Linked DNA regions of Caenorhabditis elegans. The protein of the gene in region 3 purifies or fractionates together with the protein of the main gene of each other region. This does not show direct contact. Each region holds a gene or a part of one and is shown on either strand. Other genes may lie near its edges. The genes, in order: R05H5.3, ost-1, cash-1 and clp-1.

What was found.
Region 1: the proteins of cash-1 (region 3) and R05H5.3 fractionate together in Caenorhabditis elegans (co-fractionation; one large-scale study listed by BioGRID). This does not show direct contact.
Region 2: the proteins of cash-1 (region 3) and ost-1 fractionate together in Caenorhabditis elegans (co-fractionation; one large-scale study listed by BioGRID). This does not show direct contact.
Region 4: the proteins of cash-1 (region 3) and clp-1 fractionate together in Caenorhabditis elegans (co-fractionation; one large-scale study listed by BioGRID). This does not show direct contact.

The regions. Positions count from the first base shown.
Region 1 is NC_003280.10:10,195,814-10,198,843, forward strand, and holds R05H5.3 (protein-disulfide reductase), read left to right. Parts: upstream 1-1,811; 5' UTR 1,812-1,813; coding exon 1,814-1,894; intron 1,895-1,947; coding exon 1,948-2,159; intron 2,160-2,211; coding exon 2,212-2,368; 3' UTR 2,369-2,505; downstream 2,506-3,030. Other genes in the region: srb-6 (Serpentine receptor class beta-6), read left to right, coding at 13-231, 282-383, 452-546, 595-787, 837-1,022; R05H5.4 (Tyrosine-protein kinase), read right to left, coding at 2,519-2,782, 2,828-3,030.
Region 2 is NC_003282.8:1,105,525-1,111,396, forward strand, and holds ost-1 (SPARC), read left to right. Parts: upstream 1-1,871; 5' UTR 1,872-1,924; coding exon 1,925-1,987; intron 1,988-2,036; coding exon 2,037-2,109; intron 2,110-3,288; coding exon 3,289-3,422; intron 3,423-3,690; coding exon 3,691-3,897; intron 3,898-4,371; coding exon 4,372-4,518; intron 4,519-4,872; coding exon 4,873-5,043; 3' UTR 5,044-5,348; downstream 5,349-5,872. UniProt on the Caenorhabditis elegans protein: Has a high affinity for collagen. Affects nematode body morphology and mobility. Essential for C.elegans development and muscle function.
Region 3 is NC_003283.11:10,360,317-10,366,438, forward strand, and holds cash-1 (Striatin N-terminal domain-containing protein), read left to right. Parts: upstream 1-1,944; 5' UTR 1,945-2,008; coding exon 2,009-2,065; intron 2,066-2,113; coding exon 2,114-2,221; intron 2,222-2,266; coding exon 2,267-2,453; intron 2,454-2,496; coding exon 2,497-2,675; intron 2,676-2,727; coding exon 2,728-2,780; intron 2,781-2,827; coding exon 2,828-3,266; intron 3,267-3,315; coding exon 3,316-3,661; intron 3,662-4,137; coding exon 4,138-4,685; intron 4,686-4,734; coding exon 4,735-4,863; 3' UTR 4,864-5,618; downstream 5,619-6,122. Other genes in the region: putative tubulin polyglutamylase ttll-15, read left to right, coding at 28-156, 268-393, 444-577, 628-928.
Region 4 is NC_003281.10:7,979,312-7,986,848, forward strand, and holds clp-1 (Calpain clp-1), read left to right. Parts: upstream 1-1,762; 5' UTR 1,763-1,857; coding exon 1,858-1,959; intron 1,960-2,053; coding exon 2,054-2,177; coding exon of another isoform or gene 2,178-2,293; exon of another isoform or gene 2,294-2,361; coding exon 2,362-2,499; intron 2,500-3,152; coding exon of another isoform or gene 3,153-3,227; intron 3,228-3,419; coding exon 3,420-3,548; intron 3,549-3,595; coding exon 3,596-4,038; intron 4,039-4,080; coding exon 4,081-4,239; intron 4,240-4,309; coding exon 4,310-4,572; intron 4,573-4,632; coding exon 4,633-4,764; intron 4,765-5,138; coding exon 5,139-5,608; intron 5,609-5,652; coding exon 5,653-5,758; intron 5,759-5,806; coding exon 5,807-5,864; intron 5,865-6,031; coding exon of another isoform or gene 6,032-6,040; intron 6,041-6,353; coding exon 6,354-6,443; intron 6,444-6,489; coding exon 6,490-6,608; intron 6,609-6,711; coding exon 6,712-6,721; 3' UTR 6,722-7,017; downstream 7,018-7,537. UniProt on the Caenorhabditis elegans protein: Calcium-regulated non-lysosomal thiol-protease which catalyzes limited proteolysis of substrates. Required for assembly and maintenance of integrin attachment complexes which are essential for maintenance of adult muscle.

The DNA.
Region 1 (3,030 bases), on a different chromosome or scaffold from region 3:
TAATTCTTTCAGGCCCACCACGTCGTCATCCCTTTCTTGGCAGTCTCCAAGTGTGATTTGTTAGTGAATCCCGTGAAAAACCGTATCTTTCAAAATATCGGCGTTTTCGGTATTTCTTGCCCAATGCTCACAATTCTTGGAATAACTGCTGAACGCCTTCTGGCTCTGATCTTTGCTCGTTGCTACGAAAATGTTAAGCTTCATATTGGAGTGTTTATCGGTGTTTTTGCAGTGAGTAGCGTTATTATTTTTTATTATTAAAATTAAAATAAATAGTTCAGATGCTTTGCGACATGGCACTTGTCTATTTCTTCTTCCTCGATGAGAAATTCGATCAACCGTCCATCTCATACTTTATGGTTCCTGATACTTCCGGTTATAAAGTGAGTTTTCCCAGGGAATTTGGAAATTTCACCTAGGCGGCATTAAAACATAAAACCATAAATTTCAGATGAATTGGTTATGCTATTCCTTACTTGCTATTAATAGTGTAAATTTAGTTTTCAATTATTTTTTGGTAAAGATCAACACTATTTTGAAAGAAAAGTAAGATCAGATTTAAATTATTTTAAATGCAAACACTGAAAATTTCAGATGGCGTAATTCTTTATCAACTCGTTATCAAATGGAAGAGAACATTATAACCACGAAATTCTCCACTTTTATCTCATTTATTCATGTATTCTTCTTCTCGCTCTATCTCATTTTCACCCTAATTATTCGTCTTCTAGGACCAGGATTTTTGAAAACACAAGCCGATTTGATGTCGGTCAGAGGTGTTTACATCGTGAGAATATGGTGTTCGACAAATCATGACTAAATTACATTTTTTTCAGACTATTCCCACGTATAATTTGATTATTGGTATTGCTTCATGCGTCATTCTACGGCATTTGCAAAGACAAAAAGTTGCAAAAGTTTATGCGGAAGTTACATTGAAGTATTCTGGAATTGACGGGGCTCAGATTCATCAAGAGGCTATTTTAAATGTTTGGAAGACTAAGTCATCAGGACGGAAGTGACTGATTTATAATTGAAAAAATATATTACACGACAATAATATTTATGTTTAAATCGATGTTGTGCACAAAGGTGTGCGCCTTTAAGAAGTACAGTAACCCATCCCAGTTTTTTCGCAACTTTCGTCAACTTTTATACTTTTTTATCTGAAAAATTGTTTTATTATAGAAACGAAATTGCAGTACATGAAAAAAAGTTTTTTTAACTACGAAAAACGTTTAAAAAACAGTATTATGGGTTACTGTACTTCTATGGCACAATCAATAAATATTGCGTTGATTCTTTTTCTAAACTTTGTTCGAGCGAGAACAATTATTGTGCTTTTTTCATTGAAAAAAATTTACTCTTTATTAAAAAAAAATAATATTTCGAATGTAATCTTGCTTTATTTGAGAGTCAATAGTTCCGTAAGATCAACAAATTCATGAGTTCTCTTTGCAAGCGCGCTCTGTGGAGCGGCGCCAGAAATTGAATTCGCCGCGAAAAAGAAGCGCTAGAACGGAAATTCGAAAATTTTCTTCTCATTTCCTCTCATTTTATCGAGTTTCTTCGCTTTTTTTTTCATTTTTTGCTGCGTTGGCTAACTCCAAGAGCTTTCTCCACAGATACCCCGGTTTTTAAAGTCTTATATTTAGCAAATTGTGAGCTTTTGAAGTTGTTTGATGCGAAAACTCTTCGAATTTTATTGCAGAATTTATAGCTTATAGTTAACCTTCATTTTGTTCGCATTTCTTCCGCCGGTGCCATTTTACCATTTCAATTTATGAATACTTCTAGCTTTTATTTTTCAGAAATGTCCGAATTGCTCGCTGGAACCAAGTTGATCAACCAAGACAGCGAAGAGCTCGATGCTGGCGAGCACCTCAAGGGAAAGGTAAAACATTTCTTTTTTTTTTGAAGAAAAAATGGCAAAATTAATATTTCCAGGTCGTCGGACTCTACTTCTCGGCCAGTTGGTGTCCACCATGCCGTCAATTCACTCCAAAGCTCACTCGATTCTTCGACGAGATTCGCAAGAAGCATCCAGAATTCGAGGTTGTTTTCGTGTCTCGCGATCGTGAAGACGGTGATCTCCGTGAATACTTCCTTGAGCACATGGGCGCCTGGACTGCAATTCCATTTGGAACTCCAAGAATTCAGTTAGTTTCAGCTAAAATCGAATTTTAAATGTATACAAATAATTATTTTCAGAGAGCTTCTTGAACAATACGAAGTGAAGACGATCCCATCAATGCGCATTGTCAAGCCAAACGGAGATGTCGTTGTTCAGGACGCTCGCACCGAGATTCAGGACAAAGGAAATGATCCAGAAGCTCTCTGGGAAGAGTGGCTCGCTTTCTACGATTAAATTTTCTCCACCAACGTAACACCAAAAAATTTCAAGTTTCCTTTCACTCTAATTTATCAATTGTCACAATTTCTCACCATAATTTCAAATATTGCGGCTAATTTCGTACATTTCCCATAAAAACTTTCGCAGCCAAAGATTTATTTACATTTACAGTCTAGATTTATTCGGATCCACAGACTTCGTGGTTGGCTCTGACGACACGGACAATTTCGATTTTTCCACACTTGTAGGTGGTGCCGAAGTAGTGATGGAGTTTTCCGTTTTCTTCTTGAACTCTTCCAGCTTTTCCTTCAACTCTTCAGCGGTTGGTCGTTTTTCAGCATCTACTTGCCAGCACTCGCTCATGATTTCCACCATTCTACTCGGCATTGATGGTGGTGGAGGGAGGCGATATCCGGCTCGGGTTTTGCGCTGAAAAATTCAATACACATCTAGATCCTTTTTGGCAGTATTTACCTTGACTTGAGCAGCTTTCATCTCAACATATGGCGACTTGAATGGGGTCTCGAAAAACTCCCACATCATGATTCCAAACGCGTAGACGTCAGTGTTGAAACGCGTTTCCCCGTTGTCCCAAACCTCGGGAGCCAGCCATCGGATGTTGCATGGCTTTTTAAGATCAACTTTGTAGACGGATTGGGCTCGGCACATTCCAAAGT
Region 2 (5,872 bases), on a different chromosome or scaffold from region 3:
GCGGTTACACGGGGTTCTGACCTTCCTTATTGAATTTTTCGCGCTCCAATGACAATCGGCCGCCGGACAACGTGTGGGAAAGTCGACAAATACATTTAGTTTTACAACTAATAACCGAATCGAGCCGCGACGCGACACGCAACGCGCCGTAAATGAAGATATGGCCGAGCCAAAATGACCTAGTTCGGCAAACTCTTCCATTTCAATTTTACAAAAAACTATTATCATAACACATAATCTCCTCGAAATTCCTTATATTTTGTCAGTTGAAAACTTTTTTCTACCTCTTCTCCCCGCCGAGAAAACGGCTCCTGAAATAACTAACGGGAAAGAGCGCAGAGGGAAGAGAGACGCAGGCTGCGCGCGCGCTCTGCGTCTCCCCTCACCCCACACTCTCTCGCCGCACAATCTTAAATCTTAAAAAATTCATAACTCAGTGGAGAGAAGAGCTACAAAAATGTTGTCAACGAACAAAATGTAGGAATTGTTACGTAGAATAGATTGTTAGTTGACAACTTTTCGATAACTTATATTCTCAATGAGATATGAACAATTGAAGATTTCCTCACTAACAGAAGGCAGAACTCAATATCGATCAAAAGTGCAACATATTTTTACACTTTGTCGGCTGCCACGATCTGTAAAAAATATGAAAAAGCACAGCGTTTTGAAGTAAACAGGACACCGACAGCTGTTGTTAGTACGGATGTAATTTGATAGCGGTCAACTGGAATGGAAAATGCGTTGCTACAGGACAAAACTACTTGCAGTGACCTGTGGAATTTATTTAGGAACGAACAGGAGTATAAGGAGCATATTAAGTCAAAACTTATGGGAGCAGAGATTCGCTGCACCATGTTTCGAATTACAAATTTAACGGTTTTTGTGCCATCAAAATAAGTTCCACTACAAATAGTTTACAATTCATTGATAACTTTTGTTTTTTCTGACCATTTTCCAGCTGCTCGGAAATTTTGAAAACAGTAAAAGTAGAAGGTAAAAATATGAAAAATATTCATTCCAAATTTTGTAAATAAAAAATAAATGAAGCTTTGATGCAACATGTCTGTCAGCTTATACCACAGATACAATTAGTGATATAAAAATACTATAACTATGTAGAAAGGTAGAGAATAAAGATGATAAGTGTTTTTCAGTTGACAATTTTTGAATAAAACTAACGACAATCGAGATATCAGCTGTCAAAGTAGAGATTTTTCCTTACGCTGCACATGGGTCTCCTTTCAAGGATCATATCTTGATTACAATTGAGTGTATAAACATGATTCTAACAACAAATTTATATATGAGAATATGTCAAACATTTTTGTAGTTGACAGTTTTTGAACAAAACAGAAGACAATCGAGATATCAGCTGTTAAAGTATACATTTTCCCTTACGATGCACCATGTCTTAAATTTCAACTTTGGAGGATCATATCATGGTTACAATTATTTTTAATCGTATGAAAATGATTGAAACAATAAAATTAAATGCATATATAAGAATATGTCACACATTTTGTTAGTTGATAACTTTTAAACAAAAAAGAAAAAACCGAGATATGAGCCTTTAAATGGAGAACTTTCCTAACGATGCACCATGTCTTAGATCTCAACTTTGGTGGTTTATATCTTGGAGAAAACCAAGAACAATGTTGAAGATGAACTATAAAAAAGTGCACATTATTTAATTTTAAAGTTTATTGCACAATCCAATTAATATTAGTCACTTCTCCATAGTCCCTTCTCCCAATAAATTGCACTTTCGATAATTCCAATCAATCTTGTGTCAATTTTCTCTGTCTTTCTTTTCCACCGGGCCGATATTGTGCAACATTGTGCCAGCCGTCTCCTCACATGCTCCGCCCAGATCTGTGTGCTCGGTGAGCCCCCAGCGGGTCCTCTTCATTCGCCGTCCAAGATGCGTTACGCTCTTGCCGCTTGTCTCCTGCTTCTGGCAGCCTCGTCTTTCGTTGACGCCAAGGTATGGGCTTTGAGGGGATTTTTTCAGCGAATTAATGAGAAATTTTCAGAAAAAGAAGATCGCTGATGATGAGCTCGGAGAGCTCCTCGACAACATCGATGCTGATGAGGAGAAGAAGAGTGGTGAGTAAACTTGAATACGGTATATATCGGCAATTATCAGTTCTATTCAAAATCTGCCAACTAACGAATTAATGCAAATTTCATAAGCTACAGCTTGTCAAAATTTAGCTATCGCAGCTGACACAAGCGTTAGTGCTGCTCACATATTTTCCAACAACTTGTTAGCTGACAACGTTTTGATAACTTGCACAGTCATGTCCCTTTTCAATTTTAAACCGGTGAATCTCAAGAATCATAGGCGTTACTAAAAGAACTACAATTAGTTTCTTAAACAAATTCTTGATAAAACCAAAAGCGATCCTTCGATGCACCATGCTTCTAACTTTAGTTGACGAGTTATAAAATTAATAAATATCCTATAGCAAAGTAACTAAAACTTTGTAAAACTTCCTACAAAATTCAAAAAGTTACGGCATTTTCGAAAACCTAATCAATTATCATCCATCATCCATAGTCCCAATCCTCAAGAAACCCAAAGAGTTTAAAACACATTCGAAACCCCTTCCGACTGATAATGATGATGATTCATAAACTGCCAATGTCCCAATCAATCTTGTTGCATCTGGCCAGCTAGCCGCCAGCTCACGGAGCCATCTCCTGGGCTCCTGCAGTGTAAAGTTGGAGAACCTTCGAAGATGCTCGAAGCTTTGTGCATTTCACGTCATGTGGTGTTGTAATATGAAGGCTGCTGCGGCGGCGGCGGCTCCGTGAGCAAGAGAGGAAAACGAGCACTAATATTTATGGGGGAACTTAGATGGGGTAGCTAGAGATGAAAGTGCTGAAAATAGATCAGGCGTGGGCAATTTGTAGGAAATTTTGTGAGAAATCGTTTGTTAGCGGACAATTTTTCACTAACTTTAATGATTGCCAAAAAATTCCGGTTTTAAATTAGGCTGCCGAACTTTTGATATAAATACCTCCGCAACCATTAGAGCTATCAAAGAGTTTTCAACCAACAATTTTAGGAAATTTTGTGAGCAATATTTTGTTAGTTGGCAATTTTTGAATAGCTTTACTGGTTGGCGAGCTATACGCTTCGGCGATTTCGCCAACTTCCGACCCCTGTAGCTCTGCCAGTTTCAGTACTATCAAATTTTTGCCAACTGGCAATATATTACAAACTCTTGGAAAATCATTTTACAGTTCTCAAACTCTTCTGAAAATTACTATATTTTGCAGTAGAGCCAGCCAAGAACCCATGCGAGGACCACCAGTGCGGATGGGGAAAGGAATGTGTCGTCGGAAAGAAGGGAGAACCAACTTGTGAGTGCATCTCAAAGTGCCCAGAACTCGACGGAGACCCGATGGATAAGGTGGGACCTAACAAAATGTTAAAGCTTGAAGTTTTAACAGTACTTTGTTAACTGATAACTTTTTTTTAGCTCTGCTGGTTGCGGAATTATAATTTTTTTAAACTAGAACTTTGACAAGTTCTAACTCCTCAGCCGTTACAGCTATCAAAAATTTGCTAACTACTAAAATGTAGCTTAAAACATGTTCTACAAGTTGTTAATCAATAATTTTTTAAAATCTAGCAATCTAACAATGTTACTCCTCTTCAAACAAAAGTTATCATTCCAGGTGTGCGCCAACAACAACCAAACCTTCACCTCCCTCTGTGACCTCTACCGTGAGAGATGCTTGTGCAAGAGAAAGTCCAAGGAGTGCTCCAAGGCTTTCAACGCCAAAGTCCACTTGGAATACCTCGGAGAATGCAAGAAGCTTGATGAGTGCACCGAAGAGCACATGGCTCAATTCCCAGAACGCATGGCTGACTGGCTCTTCCAGGTGGGGGTTGAAAGAGGCTAATAGGTGCCATTAAAAAACTGACAAATGGCACATTAACGTAAAAGTTGTTTGAAGCAGTTTGTTAGTTGACAATATTTTGTTAACTTCAAAACTAGCAGAGTTGCGGGGATTTGAAATTTCAAAAATTTCAAAACAAAAAATTTAGTAGATTTTTTTTTCAAGTTGGAATATCTCAGCAACCAGGGTTGCTTTTTAAAAAATTGTTTTCGAGAAATTGTAGCAAATTTTATGAAATTTAAATATTTTTAAACAAATTTTGTGTGTTCCAACTGATTGTCGAGTTATCGCTCCGCAAATTCGGCAACTCAAAAAACCCACAAAAAACGAAAAATGAAAAAAAAAAAACGTTTTTTCAAACCGATCCAACTCCGCTTGTTTCAAAGCTAGCGAAATTTTGTCAACTGAAGAAACACCATAAATTACTTAAATTTTATTAATCTCAATTTGTTTCAGGTCATGAAGGAGCTTAAGAAGAGACGTGAGCTCCACAAGCTCGAGTGGGAAGAGCTCCTCTCCGAGGCCGAGAACGACGACGAGAAGAAGCACGTGTACCCAGTTATCTGGAAGTTCTGCGAGCTTGACACCAAGCCACATGATAAGGTTAGTAAGAAGCTTGGTTTAAAAAAAAAACGATATATTTAAAAAAGCTAAAATTGAAATTTTGAGAAATAAAAAAATTCAAGCCAAAAAAATTTTAATTTATAAAAAATCAAAACTTATCAATTAATAAATTTAGACACAATGTTAAAAAAAAATATTCAGAATTAAAAAAAATCAGAAAATGTTTTATTTCCCAAAAAGAAAACATTTTTTGAAAGTTTTTTTAAAACCCTACTGTAAATTTTAAAAAATTAAAAAAAAACATTTTCGAAAATTTTTAAATTTTAATTTTCCACCCAAACCTAAAATTTTCTGAATTTTTTGAATTTCCCACTCTAATCCCACTATTTTCAGTCCGTCTCCCACCACGAGCTCATTCCAATCACTGCTCCAGTCATCCCAATGGAATCCTGCATCAAGCCATTCCTCGAGGGATGCGACGCCAACAATGACGGAAACATTTCAATTAAGGAATGGGGAAAATGCTTGGGACTTAAGGAGGGAGAGATCCAAGAGAGATGCTAAATAATTATCTAATTAAAAGTTTAAAAAATTCGAAAAAAAAAAACTTTCCCAAAAAAAATTCTAATCCAGCTTGCCGAACTGCCAACTTGCTCACATGCTAGAAATATCTGTAAATTACAGATTTCTAGGCCATGAACCCCCTATTTAACCTCAAATATCGATTTTTGAATTTTTTTTGCTTTGCTGAATCCAATGTGCCAAATCTCAGTTGAACATAATGATATCCTACTGATTCTTTTTAATTTTTTTCTATAATTTTCAATTTTAATAATAAATGTTTATTTTATTGATAATTACGGCAATTTGTGAGAGGAAAAAATTGAAAAAAAAAGAATTTCAGAAAAAATTCCAAAATATCAAAAAAAAACCACTTCCAGATTTTTTCCATATAACTCGGAAACCCTAGAAGCTACCAAAAAGTTGTAAACAAACAAAATGTAGCTCTGACAATTTGCAACATTTTCATAGTTGATATGTTTTTGCTAACATGTGTGGTTGCCGACTTATATCCCTCGACATGTAGACAACCAAAAAAATTGCGCTTCTCAAAAAAAAATCAATACGTATCAACTTTTGTTACATGTGCATTATAGTGCATCATAGGTCGGTGATTTGGAGAGCCTCCATGATGAGATCCATGCTGATCCACGTGGATCCATGACATTGTTGGAGGATGCACGTGTTCCGGGTGGTGCTCGGCGAGCAACTTTCGGTGAAAGTGAGTGAAAACCAGGATGGCGCTGAGATGATCAAGTTTAACTACCGTTTAACACATAAACCATAGAAAAATCTTTAAAACTGACCGAGTTATAGAGTTTCGACAAATTAT
Region 3 (6,122 bases):
CTTTAATAATATACCCAAGATATTCAGATAAATTCATTGAAAAAATACTTCAACACTCAAAAAATGAGCTTCAAGAGTACAATTGATTCTTATTTGGGAATGCAAGGAATGGATACAAGCAAGATTTGGTTGCAGATAAGAAATATTATTGGAGAGGTAATATTTAGAACTCTCAACTAATCTCTGTGATGCATATTTTCTAGATATTCAAAGGAGACGATCAAAAAATTTTGCACACTTTTTCTGAACTTCATTATCTTTTTTCAGGTCTTCCGAACACAGCAAACAAAAATGCTAATGAGTCTTCAAAACTTGAAATTAAATCCACAATACTTTGAATTAAGCAGATTTGATTTTGTGGTCGATGATCAATTGAACGTTTTTCTTATGGAGGTATGCATTTATTTTTCAGAATCATTAAAATTTACAAGACATCTTTGCAGGCGAATATGTCTCCTAATCTCTCTTCAGGTCATTTTAAACAAAATCAAATACTTTATGAACAAGTTCTAATGAACATTTTCTCTCTAACTGGAATTTCAACACCAATTACAAAAGAAGCTGACATCTTGTTCAAGTTCGTTTATTCCATTTGAAGCTGTCCACAAATTAGATTTCCCGTTCTAGATCACGTACATCCGAACAAAATCCTCTTGTTAACTCCCGAGACATCAATCTTCCGCTGAAATTTTGTGTTGAAAATAAATGTGAATCATGTGATGAGGCTCCAGAATGCCAGCTATGCGGACACTGTATGAATACAGAAACAAGGAAAATACTGGAGCAGACTTTTGTGGAAAATTCGAACAGGAAGCAGATGAAACGAATTCAGTTCGACTATGAAAATCATCATCCATTAACAAAAGAAGATCATCTTCTCACATTATGGTTAAGCACCAAATGTCAATTGGATAATACGTGGTGTTAAAGTAGCGTGCTGTACATTTTATTATTGTATTGGCCAAAACTATGACGGTCCCGGTTTTTTCAAAAAATACTTAGAAATTTTCAAATGCAACTTTCTGGGAGTTTTTAAGACAATCTTGCATAGCGGGTTTTGAGATTGAAGTTTTTTTGAAAGTTTCTCTTGATCTCATTATTTTATTCAGTAAAAATTGGTCACCAACTGAACGTTATCTTACTGTTTTTGAAAAATAAATTGAATATATCGGATATAAGTAATCAATTTTAATTTTCAAATAAATCATTCCGTTTTTGTTTTTCAATTTTGTTTTTGAAACAATCTTTTCGATGAAAAAAGATATTATGTGATGCAAATAAGTACCTGAATATGCTTGAAACGTAATACGCGTGAAATTTAGATAAAATTTGAGACAATAAAATCTCATTCCTTTTTTCTAACTACATCAGCAGGTGATTAAATAATATAATAAAAGTTTCTCCAAGATCCAAAACCCAAGTAAATGCATTTGATTTTCAGCTGGTGGTTTTATGTTGGCAAAGTTCAAGTTTCTCATATTTTTGGTTAACGGATACAGTCTGCTAAGCCACTTAATATATTAGCATTTTGAAATTCAAATGGAAAATAGATTTCACATTTGTATTTTTTAATTGTTAGTGGCATACGGTACTTATAGAAAGTCTACCTTTCAAATTTGAAAAGGCGCCAATAATTGCAACGAATATGCGCCCCATTGTTAATATGAAGACGCGCGCCGAACACGCGACGCAGACAACGGCACTCGTTTTACTCGCTCTTCCCTTTTCTTCCTCGTGCCTCGGGGCTGCGTCCACCTAATCGAATCAGTTTTTCATCAGTCTCGTACGACTTGATGCTACTTTTATTTTATCAGCTCATCTATATTGATTACAGCCCTAATAAGCAGTTTCAATTTTGCCACAAACTTCTCGTCCTCTATTGCAATTAAACTTTTTGAAAATCTTCTTATACACGTTTCGTAATTTTTTTCAACTGTTCTTTCCAGCTTTTGCACTTGCTTCATTAACGTAAATTACTCGAAATAAGATCGGATTCGAGTAGTTTACAATGGAGGACGCCAGTCAATTGTCAAACTCACAAAATGACAAAGCAAAGGACGAAACGGTAAGTTGAGTTGGAATTCAGCTTCTGTAAAAATCGAAAACTTTACAGACTCGTCCTCAGTATACAATGTCGGGTATTTTGCACTTTATACAACACGAATGGACAAAAAATGAGTTAGATCGAACTAGGTGGGAAGCAGAGAGAGCCGAAATGCAGGTGAGTAAATATTTTTTCTACGATTGTAATGTGAAATTTTTGTAGGCTCGTATTGCTTTCCTACAAGGAGAAAGAAAAGGTCAAGAAAATTTGAAACAAGATCTTGTCCGTCGTATCAAAATGCTCGAATTCTGCCTGAAACAAGAACGTGCCAAAAATTATCGACTAACCCACAACGGCGAAGAACCACCATCACTGGAAGAATCTCCAAATGAAAATTCAGCGCCAAGCGGTAATTTCTATGAAGACGTTCCGATCGAAAATATATATTTCAGAAAACAGCCATTTGACGGCCGACCTTGATGCATACATAAATGATGCTGGTGAAGCTGGAGGTAGTTTCAGGCAGGGACGCCTTCTTCTCAAACGTTATCTGGAAGAAATTGGATACAGCGAGCACATCATGGATGTTCGATCCTTCCGTGTAAAAAATCTTCTCGGATTATTACCCCAAGTATGAAAATTCAATAGTTTGAAAAAAAAACCAATCTGTTTTGAACTTCCAGGCTGATCTTCCATCCAGTGAACGTCTCAATGGTAGAAAAGAGAAAAGTGACAGGTACTTATTCACTACTTTCTTTTTGAACACATAGCAATCGTTCTAAGTAATTACAGTGATTCCGATGACGGACATGATGATGCAGCCTTGGATGCTGACGCCTCAAAGGCGTTTGAAGAGTTTGATTTTCTAAACAATATGGATGCGAAAGAAAAAGGTTCTGACGATGACTGGGCAGGAAAAGGAGCTTCATTCGAAAAACTGATAAAACAATACAAGGACGATCCAAAAGTGAAGCGGCGTTCAAGGACGTCAACTGAAGAATCCGAAGAGAAAACAAGCAACGATGTTCAGAAAAATCTAGAGACTGATGTTCCACCAGGAATTCGATCAGCTATCGATGCCGCTGCACAAGAAGAACTTCCAGTTCGGCGACAAGGTAGACGTAGTGCTAATTTTGGATATGGTAACGGAAATGAGTTGGACGTTGCTCTTGGAATGCAAGATAATGATAATATGGACATTAAGGACGAGTTCAAAGATGAAGTGAGTTTTTCAGTTTTAAAAATAAAAGAAAAATAATTGTCAAATTCAGGATGATGATCCGAATGCACAACAAGTGAAGTGGAATATCAAAGTTACTCTACGATCTCACCTTGATTCGATTCGCGCGATGCAATTCCATCCAGTTGAGCCCGTACTATTTACTGCTTCGGAAGACGGTCTGATCAAATTATGGAATCTCGATCAAAAGAAAGATGAGAAACACAACAGTGGTGGTACCGAGCTTGAGCCAGTTTATACATTCCGGGGACACAAAGGCCCTGTTCTATGCTTAGTCCTGTCGCCAACTGGAGATCATCTCTACACCGGAGGTATCGATGGAAACATCTGCTGTTTCAATGTACCATCTTCAAACGGGGATCCATTTGATTCTTATGGTAAGATTTATTTCTTAATTAAAATGAGCTGTCAAAAACTAATTAATCACAATTTGCTTCATTTTGTGCAAAATCGTTTGGAAAAAAAAGATTATGCATTGAAATTAGTATCGTCCTTTCGCAGAAACGGGACACTAGATGCATAATATTTTATGAAGAATTTGGACTTTCTCAGTGCAATTTTAGAAGTTTAGTTTTCTCTCAAAATCAATTTTCTAATAAAAGTGAATCATTCGTAGCTACCACTATGACTGAAATCGTTATGAGACCCACTCGGAAAACGATGCGTGCCTTTAAGCTAACAACAAAATTTCGCCAAATTATGATAACATGTTCAAATATCAAAGTATCAGTTACCTTTTGCGATACAGATTCAAACGATTCAACGCTATTTTTAGTTTAAATTTTCGCCAAACAATAAGACTAAAGTTAATTTAATAATTAGTTCAAATTTAAGGTTATGTTATTTATTATAGATCCACGAGTCCTAACTGAAACACTTACTGGACATACGGATGCAATTTGGTCGGTGGCTTATCATTCATCAAACAGTCGCCTTGTTTCTGCCAGTTCTGATTCAACGGTTCGTCTATGGGAACCAGGAAATGGTGAACCACTTATCAGAACTATTGGTGCCCCAAAATCCGGAATACTTCCGACATCAGTTGATTTTGTATCTACGGAAACATCACATTTACTTGCTGCATACACAAATTGCTATGCTCAAATTATTGATATCGATACTGGAAGCACTGTCATGGTGTTCGATTTCGGAGCGGTTACAGGTTCACCAACAATGAACAAAATTGTTAGTCATCCAACAATGCCTCTCACACTTATTGGCGGTGAAGATCGGACGATTCGGTACTTTGACAACACCAACGGATCGATAATTCATGAAGCTATCGCACATGTTGAGGGAGTTTCTTCTCTTGCTATTGATCCAAATGGTCTTTATCTTTTGTCTGGAAGTCATGATGGTAGTATCAGGATGTGGAATATGGAGAAACGTTCATGCCTTCAGGTATATTTTTTTATAAATTAAGAAACTGTACAAATGTAGTATTTTTCAGGAAATTTCTGCCCACCGGAAAAAGAATGATTCAGCAGTTACCTCCGTTGCTTTCCATCCTTCAAGATCTCTTATAGGATCTGCCGGTGCCGATTCTCTTGCCAAGGTGTACGTGTCAGGAAGCAACTAGAGTATCCCATTCATTTTTTTATTATTATTTCCCTATTTTCATATTTCGCCAATTTAACTTAAAGTATAATAGGAATTCGCCAGTTCGTCTCCCAGTTCATGCCCAAATCCACGCCTACATACCTTCATTTTTATTACTACAACAGTACCCTTTATTTTATTGTAGATAACCAACAACCATTTTTATTCAAATCTAAACGTAATTTATCTGTCCCCTCCTTCCCTCGATTGATTTCTTTTTAAATATGAAATTTGATCACGGGTCGAAAATGAGCATTTTGACACTTGTCAACCTAATCTGCAATCCTGTAAATATTACGTCGCAGTTAGCTCAAATTAACCATCTTCTGAAGTGGTTGCAGTGGTTATTTGGGCGAACAATTTTTTATATTTTCTATGGCAGTAATGTGAAACAACACCGATACAAATCGGGTTAAAACAATCTATAGGATATTGATTGATTAGCTCATCTTTAAACTGCACAAATTTCGACTCGTGTTCCTATTTCTCTTAGATACCCTTTCTGCGCCATGTTTTGTTCTCTCGGCATTGTTTCCATTCTCAAAACGCTTAGTTTTAATCAATAACCAGATATCCTCGAGAATCCAAATTCAGACCGTAAGTTCTCATCATTTTCCTCTACTTCATCCTCGTCTCTCTTTACCATTATTATCTGTTATTCTTTGTTTCTATCTCGGTCGACTGACAGTGTTTCAACTATGTCTTGAACTGTATCATAAATTACTGAGAATTCTAGTTTGATTTTTTGCACGAATACAGAATTTTTCACTTCTACCATTTCAGTGTTGGGCAATTGGGCAATTATCAAACGAAAATTAATGATTTCTTGAATTTTATAAATTGAGTACCGTAACCAGAAAAAAAAAACCATTTAAAACCATCTATTGATCCAATAGTCGATGAGGAATGGCAATATCTACTTTTGCTGGAAACTATGTGACCTGAATGAACATTTTCTACGTCAGACCAAACGCTGAATGGGAAGATTAAGGTATATCTATAAGCTCGATTCCAAATTGAAGAACCCAATAGATATAAATCAATCTAAAATTTTAAAGACAAAGAAAAAAAGTGAATAATAAAATATGCTAACTAACTAAATCTCGTGTCATTGTTTTATTCAATTGTTTTCTGTTCTCAAGAATCAAACTGATTAAGGATTATGTTGAAGAGAAGTTGGAAAAAAAATGTCGCCAAGTTATTTTATGTTTGACTTTTTCGCTTTTGGTTTTCGTTTTA
Region 4 (7,537 bases), on a different chromosome or scaffold from region 3:
ACTACATTCCCGTATACAAAAGTTCTTTCGACCAAGAACAAAAAAATTTCAGTTGCTTTTCTCCTTTGACAAAAATTAACAAATAAAATGAATATTTTAGGAGCCAAATAAAAAAAATTAAACAAAAAAGAACAGTCCTCATTTGGATTTAGATTTCTGTAATTGTAAGTCGTAAATCCGCAACATCTAGATAATCGTCAAATGGGGCTCAGACAGCTCAAACCCTGGCTTTTTGAATGATTGGCAACCAACGTTGGTGAAATTTTCTCATTTTTAAATCGCTCACCACTTCTTTATTCTAAAGAGTTCTCTGGTCACTCACCTATAAATCCAAAAAAAAGTGCTTCGATACACAAAATTTTATTCTCTTTTCAAAGAAAAAGGGACCTTTTCCTCTATGCTATCGATCACCTGCGAATAGAACCTAACGGAAAACAAAAACAAAAAGAGCAACTGAGCCCCGGAGCCTCACCAAAACCAATTATCAACGGCGCGGAACATCTTTTCCCCTCTATTTCTGCCATCACATTCCGTTTCGAGAAAAAAAAGAGCAACTTTTTCCTGCTCTGAGCCATAGGGTGCTCCTTTATTTCCGGTTGGTCCCTCTAGCTCTCCATTTCTCAAAACGAGCTGCTTGTTGCTCCCTTTTTGAGCTCATTCTGTGCTCGTTTCTCGAGGAGAATTGCCCGGTGCAATGAATGTATTCAATTGTTGTCTTGTTGGTGAGTCAAATTTGTATGAAAAAAAATTCAAGAAATGTATTGTATTGTTGTCTACGTGTGATCCAGAGTATCTTCAGAAGGTGTGGTTTTTTTTCTGAACTCTAAATTAAAAAAAAAACACATTTTCGGCCTGCTCCTGACACTGAGTTGACATGTCCTTCGCTTAGACTCATGGGAATGTAGAATTGGTTTCAAAAGCAAAACACGCAAACTCTGGTCCCCCGCAGCTTTTACATCGATTTCCAAATGTTTTTTGTTCGTTTTCTCGGTTTCAAAAGACAATTTTATCCGTATCAAAAGGTCATACAGGGAAATTTCGGAACAAAATTGAAAGAAAAATCCTTGAATAATTGAAAATCATGTTCAAAAATTACGATTTGCTTAGTTTTATCTGATTTTCTGAGCATATTCTATATTTCGAAACCCATTGAATGTGGCAATTGTTTTTTTGGTGTGTTGTGCCTCACTCCAATACCAATTTCCGTGACGATTAAATTGAAAACAAGACCGAAAAACCAAAAGAGAAACAAAAAAATAAAATCTAGTTTTTTTTTCTCCCCCTGTCACATTGAATTTATATTTTTATCCGTTTCCAATTAGGTTCATCCGTTTTGTTTGCCATCGATAGCTAATTGATGACAATCAAATAAATTAATAGATAAAGTTTCTATTTCCATTAACTCAAATTTCCTTTATTCTGTCAACTAAATTTATGTTGTTTCGTGCTCAGAAAATATGAGAAAAAAAACAGAAAAATGCATGCACAAAAAAGTTGACGCTAATCTTTGTCTCCCCAACTCCGAAGGCTCAAAGAGCACGCAAAGGGCTTATCGATTTTAAGAATTACACATTCCTTAAAAAAAGCTCTAACTCTAAAAATTATTTTATGTTTCCATTCTCAATTGCTGTATCCCCAAGAAGAGGTAAAAATTTGTTTTTTTTTTCTCTATGTTGTGAGCCTGATTGCTCTGCTTCTTCTGACTTTTTCGTTGAACAAAAATCAAATTTTATTTCAAATTCATAGATATTCTGTTTTGCAGACCCCGAAAATCGTGCGGCAGGCTCAAACGAGGAGGAAAACTATCAAAAAAAGACAACAACCGACGGTTTCACAGCAAAAGCCGACGGAATCAAAATGGCTGACGATGAGGAAGAAATTATTCAAAAAGTCGAAGTGAAGCCGGATGAATTCAATGGATTAATTGGATCAATTGCTGGTAACCTGATTAGAGATAAGGTTAGTTTAATTTTTGGTTAGAATATTTTTTTTTTAAATTTGCTACATAGACATGTTGAAATTTAATTGCAACCTAAAACTAATTATCTCACAGGTCGGTGGCGCCGGTGGTGATATCCTTGGAGGCCTTGCCAGTAACTTCTTCGGAGGTGGAGGCGGCGGAGGAGGCGGCGGCGGAGGCGGAGGTTTCGGTGGTGGAAATGGAGGATTCGGTGGAGGTATTTTTATTTTCAAAATTGTCAGACAAAAATTCCCTAAAAATTCAAGTTCCTTTTTTTGTGTTAGAAAACATTTAGATTCACTCAAAACATCACCGTGTGGCTTAGATCAGTGAATTTTTTCTCACACCTTATATGTTGTCCATGTTATCGTAATCCCATTTGCTGCTACAGTAATCCATAGGTTCGAACTACGATCAAGGCGGGAATGGGAACAGCGGAGATCAACAAAAAAGGAAACGAGACATGGCGAAAGACTTGATTGGAGGAATATTCGATAATGTGGTGAATAGGAAAGGAAAGAAGGAGCAGGATAACTATGGTAGCGTTTGTGTTTTTTTTATTTGCTGTTTTGTGCTTTCTATAGATTTGATTATATAATTAGCTTAATCATTTTCTCAAATTTTCTGAACATGGTCTGTAATTTATTATCCTCGGTTTTTTTTCTAGTTTTTCATTCTTGGACGTCTGGGAATGTGAAGCTTCTTTGTCTTTTGTTCCGTAATTGTTCACCAATCTTCAAGCTTTTTTCTTGAAAATAGCGCAATTCCACGCTCATAGCACAAATTCATCAACTTATGTTAAAAATCAGGTGGAGGTCGACAACAGCCGCCACCAAATAACAATTTTGGTGGTGGAGGTGGATCTGGCGGTGGCGGAGGGTTCGGAGACATTCTTGGGGGACTTTTGAGCGGCGGAGGTGGCGGCGGTGGACAAAGAGGCGGCGGAGGGCAAAATTACGGTCTGAGAGTTTGAAAATACAATAAGTTAAGCTTCTACGCACTCACCAACACTCACTTAAATACTAACAACACCACTCATTTCCAAAATTTGATTTGAAAAATATGGCTATTTTGAAAGAAGCTTTAGACTTTTAAATTCTCCTGTTAATTCGCTTTTGACTGATGATTCGTGATTTTCCTTTAAAAATGCAATATTTTGCATGTTTGCTGTGATATTTCGTGTGAAATTTAGGCGGAGGCGGCAGTGGCGGTGGCGGTGGTGGAAACAACATCGGAAGCTTGGTCGGATCACTTATTGGTGGTGGTGGTATGCATTAGGATTGTAGTGTGCATGTAGTATCATAAATGTTGTGTTAATATTTTAATAGTTAATAGAGCTGATGATCAGAACATTTATAGATCTTATTGACACTTATTTATCACATCTAATTGTATTTCATTTCTGAACTATCTACACAAATGTGGCACCCATGAAATTCAAGCTAGAGTAATATTTTAGGCGGAGGTGGTAACTACGGCGGTGGTGGTGGAAATCAAGGAGGCGGCGGAGGCGGTGGCTTTAACTTCAATGATATCGGTGGACTCATCAACAGTATGGGAGGTGGTGGTGGTGGTGGCCAGAGACAAGGTATAGAACATTTATTAATATACTTTGAATAATTTGAAAAATTTTAGGCGGTGGTGGAGGAGGCTTCGGAGATATCCTCGGAGGAATCGGATCTCTCATTGGCGGAGGAGGCGGTGGCCAGTACAATGGTGGAGGTGGAAATGTGAACCCGAATAATCTCAACGGTGGAATGGTGAATGTTATCGGAAATCTCATTGGAGAAGCTGCTCACAGATTCCTCGGCGTTGATCCGGGTACAGGCAGAATCATTGGAGCTGTCGCTGGAAATGTGATTATGGGACTTGGTGGAAAAGATAATTCTCTTGGAAATATCGGAAAAGTTATTCTGGACAATATTATTTCTGGAAAGTTCCGTAGGGATGTTGATCCATTCGTTCGTCCAGGACCAGATCCAGATAGAGGAGGTGGTGGAAGTGGTCCAAGCCCTATTTCACCAAGACCAACTACCGAACCACAAGACTTCTATGAGCTCAGAGATCAATGTCTTGAGGTGAGTGTTCAAAACATATCATTTTTAAAATAATAAATTCAGAGCAAACGACTATTCGAGGATCCACAATTCTTGGCCAATGATAGTTCGTTATTCTTCTCGAAACGTCCACCAAAACGTGTAGAATGGCTTCGTCCTGGAGAAATCACAAGAGAGCCACAACTGATTACAGAGGGTCACTCGAGATTTGATGTTATTCAGGTTAGCTCTTGGATTATTTTCAGAATTTTTAATATTTGAAATGTACTATTAAAATTATATATTCTTTCAGGGAGAACTCGGAGATTGTTGGCTCTTGGCTGCTGCAGCCAATTTAACTCTCAAGGATGAGCTCTTCTATCGTGTGGTTCCACCAGATCAATCTTTCACTGAAAACTACGCTGGAATCTTCCATTTCCAATTCTGGCAGTACGGAAAATGGGTGGATGTTGTTATTGACGACAGATTACCAACGAGTAACGGCGAGCTTCTCTATATGCATTCTGCTAGTAATAATGAGTTCTGGAGTGCACTTTTAGAGAAGGCATATGCAAAGTAAGTTCGGACTTTTGACCGACATTTATGAAGGAATAAACTAGTTAATTAATTTTCAAGATTGTTCGGATCATACGAGGCTCTCAAGGGAGGTACCACATCTGAAGCACTTGAGGACATGACTGGAGGACTCACCGAGTTTATCGACCTCAAAAACCCACCAAGAAACTTGATGCAAATGATGATGAGAGGGTAGGGATTAAAGTCTAATTTACATTATTATCCAAAAACGAGTTGTGCCAAACTACAGTACCCGGTCTCGACGCGACAATTTTTGTTAATTATGAATGTCTGTGCGCCTTTAATGAGTACTGTAGTTTCAAACTTTCGTTGATGCCGAATTTTCATTGATTTTGCATAGTTTTTTGTTAGAAACAGAAATAAAACAATTAAGAACACACAAACTATGAAAAATCGATAAAAAATTCCACAAAAATAAAATCTTGAAAGTAAAGTACTCTTTAAAAGTGATCCCCTATTTATATTCGACAAAAAGTTGTCGTGTCGAGACCGATTACCGTATTTTTTGCGCAAATTTTAGCGTCCATGTATTAACAAAATTTCAGATTCGAGATGGGATCCCTATTCGGTTGCTCCATCGAAGCCGATCCAAATGTTTGGGAAGCAAAAATGTCGAATGGTTTAGTGAAAGGACACGCCTATTCAATTACCGGATGCCGAATTGTTGACGGACCAAATGGACAAACTTGCATTCTTCGAATCCGTAATCCATGGGGAAATGAACAGGAATGGAATGGACCATGGTCAGACAATTCACGCGAATGGCGAAGTGTTCCAGATTCTGTAAAACAAGATATGGGACTGAAATTCGATCATGATGGAGAGTTTTGGATGTCATTTGATGATTTTATGAGGAATTTCGAGAAAATGGAAATTTGCAATCTTGGACCAGATGTTATGGATGAAGTCTATCAAATGACTGGTGTCAAGGCCGCTGGAATGGTTTGGGCTGCAAATACTCATGATGGTGCATGGGTTAGAAATCAAACAGCTGGAGGATGCAGGAATTACATCAGTAAGTAAATATTCATCTACAAATATTTTCAATTTTCAATTCAGACACTTTCGCCAACAATCCACAATTCCGAGTTCAACTTACCGATTCGGATCCTGATGATGATGATGAACTCTGCACTGTAATATTCGCCGTTTTGCAAAAATACAGGTAGCGCCACCAGATAGGGAAATCATTTTTATTTTTCCAATTTTTAAGACGTAATCTGAAACAAGATGGACTTGACAACGTGCCAATTGGATTTGCTGTCTATGACGTGAGACTATTGTTATTTTGAAGAAAAAACAGGATTTGGCCTGAAATTTACGACAATTCTAGAAAACCTCAACTTTAAATAGAATAGTTGGAACATTTGAAAACTTAACTTTCCCCTAAAACTACTAAAAAATTTTTAAACCTTTTAAATACGCTAAAAATTTACAGATGAACAATGTAAGTTGGCTAATTGAAAATCTTGTGAAACCGGTAAAATTGTCCAAATCACGTCGTTTCTAGTTCAAAATAACCCACATTCAGTGAACCTCACCCACTTTGTTTAGTGTGTATTGTTTTATTGTTGAAGTACACGTGCTGATTTTTTGACATTATCTAACCAATATTTATGTTTTGTTGTTTACTATTGGATGTGTGAAACGTATCAAATAACAGAAAAATGCAGTCATTTGAAAGAAAATTGTATTTTCTGTCTCTGTGTTCGTCCGAACCAAAGATTTTTTCAAGCTTTATAAAATTACATACTATTCAGGCCGGAAATAACCGTGGTCGACTGAGTAAACAGTTCTTCGCTGCCAACAAATCCGCGATGAGATCGGCCGCTTTCATCAATTTAAGAGAGGTAATTTTCTATCTTCAAAATTAAATTTTAAAAACCAAATTTTCAGATGACTGGCCGCTTCCGTGTACCCCCGGGCAACTATGTTGTCGTTCCATCAACATTTGAACCAAACGAGGAAGCCGAGTTCATGCTCCGTGTCTACACGAATGGATTTATCGAGTCGGAGTGAGTAGTGAATATCAAGATTTTGTACTTTGTTTTGATTTAACAGAATATATAAGCTGAGCTTCTGCAGGTACTAATAATTCATTGATTCAATATTTTCCAGGGAACTGTAAGCCATTCTACTCACAACTACAACAACAAATAGCAAGATTGGATCTTCCTATACCTATTGTTTTGATCCACTTCGTTATGTATAAATCTCTCTGTCACTCGTTCTATTTTCATCATTAACCCCCCTACCCTCTCTCTCTTTCCTCAATCGTCCCTCTTTTCTCCACTCTTTCTGCCTAATTTCCCGTCGATGTTTGCCGGATCTGCTCTGTAGAATTGTAATATTTTGATATGCTTGTTGTTTCACTGTATTCTTTTTTTTTGCCTTTTCCAGAGTAAATAAATTTTCTAGTTCTGATGAAAGATATCCAAAATTTCCGTCTTTTCAAAAATCAAGCCTGTCAAAAGATTAAGCATACGAAGTATTTTTAAATGAACAAAATTATCTTATATTCTTCAACACTTAAAAAATATTCACAGATTTCATTAGTATTGACTCTGTCGCTACGAATAATACCACATACACTAAACCATTTCTGATCTAGCTTTAAAAATTTCTCTTTTTTTAAAAATCAATTAGGAAAGATAAAAATATATTTACCTCGAGTAGTGGGAGAAACTGTAAAAAATCACGTTTTACGGTGAAGTAATAATACTTTTTTTTAGCAGCTTCGAACAAAAGTCTTTTTTCCAGCCCAATTTTGCATAAAATTTGTTTTTATTAAAATGAGAAAAAATTCATTTCTTTAATCGATTTCCAAAGCTTCGACATTACCGTAATCTTTAAAGGCGCACATTCTATTCTGCAGTAATCGTATCCTTCGTGTCGAGACCGGTCGGTACCGTATACTTTGGACTCACTAACTTTTTTTAATTTT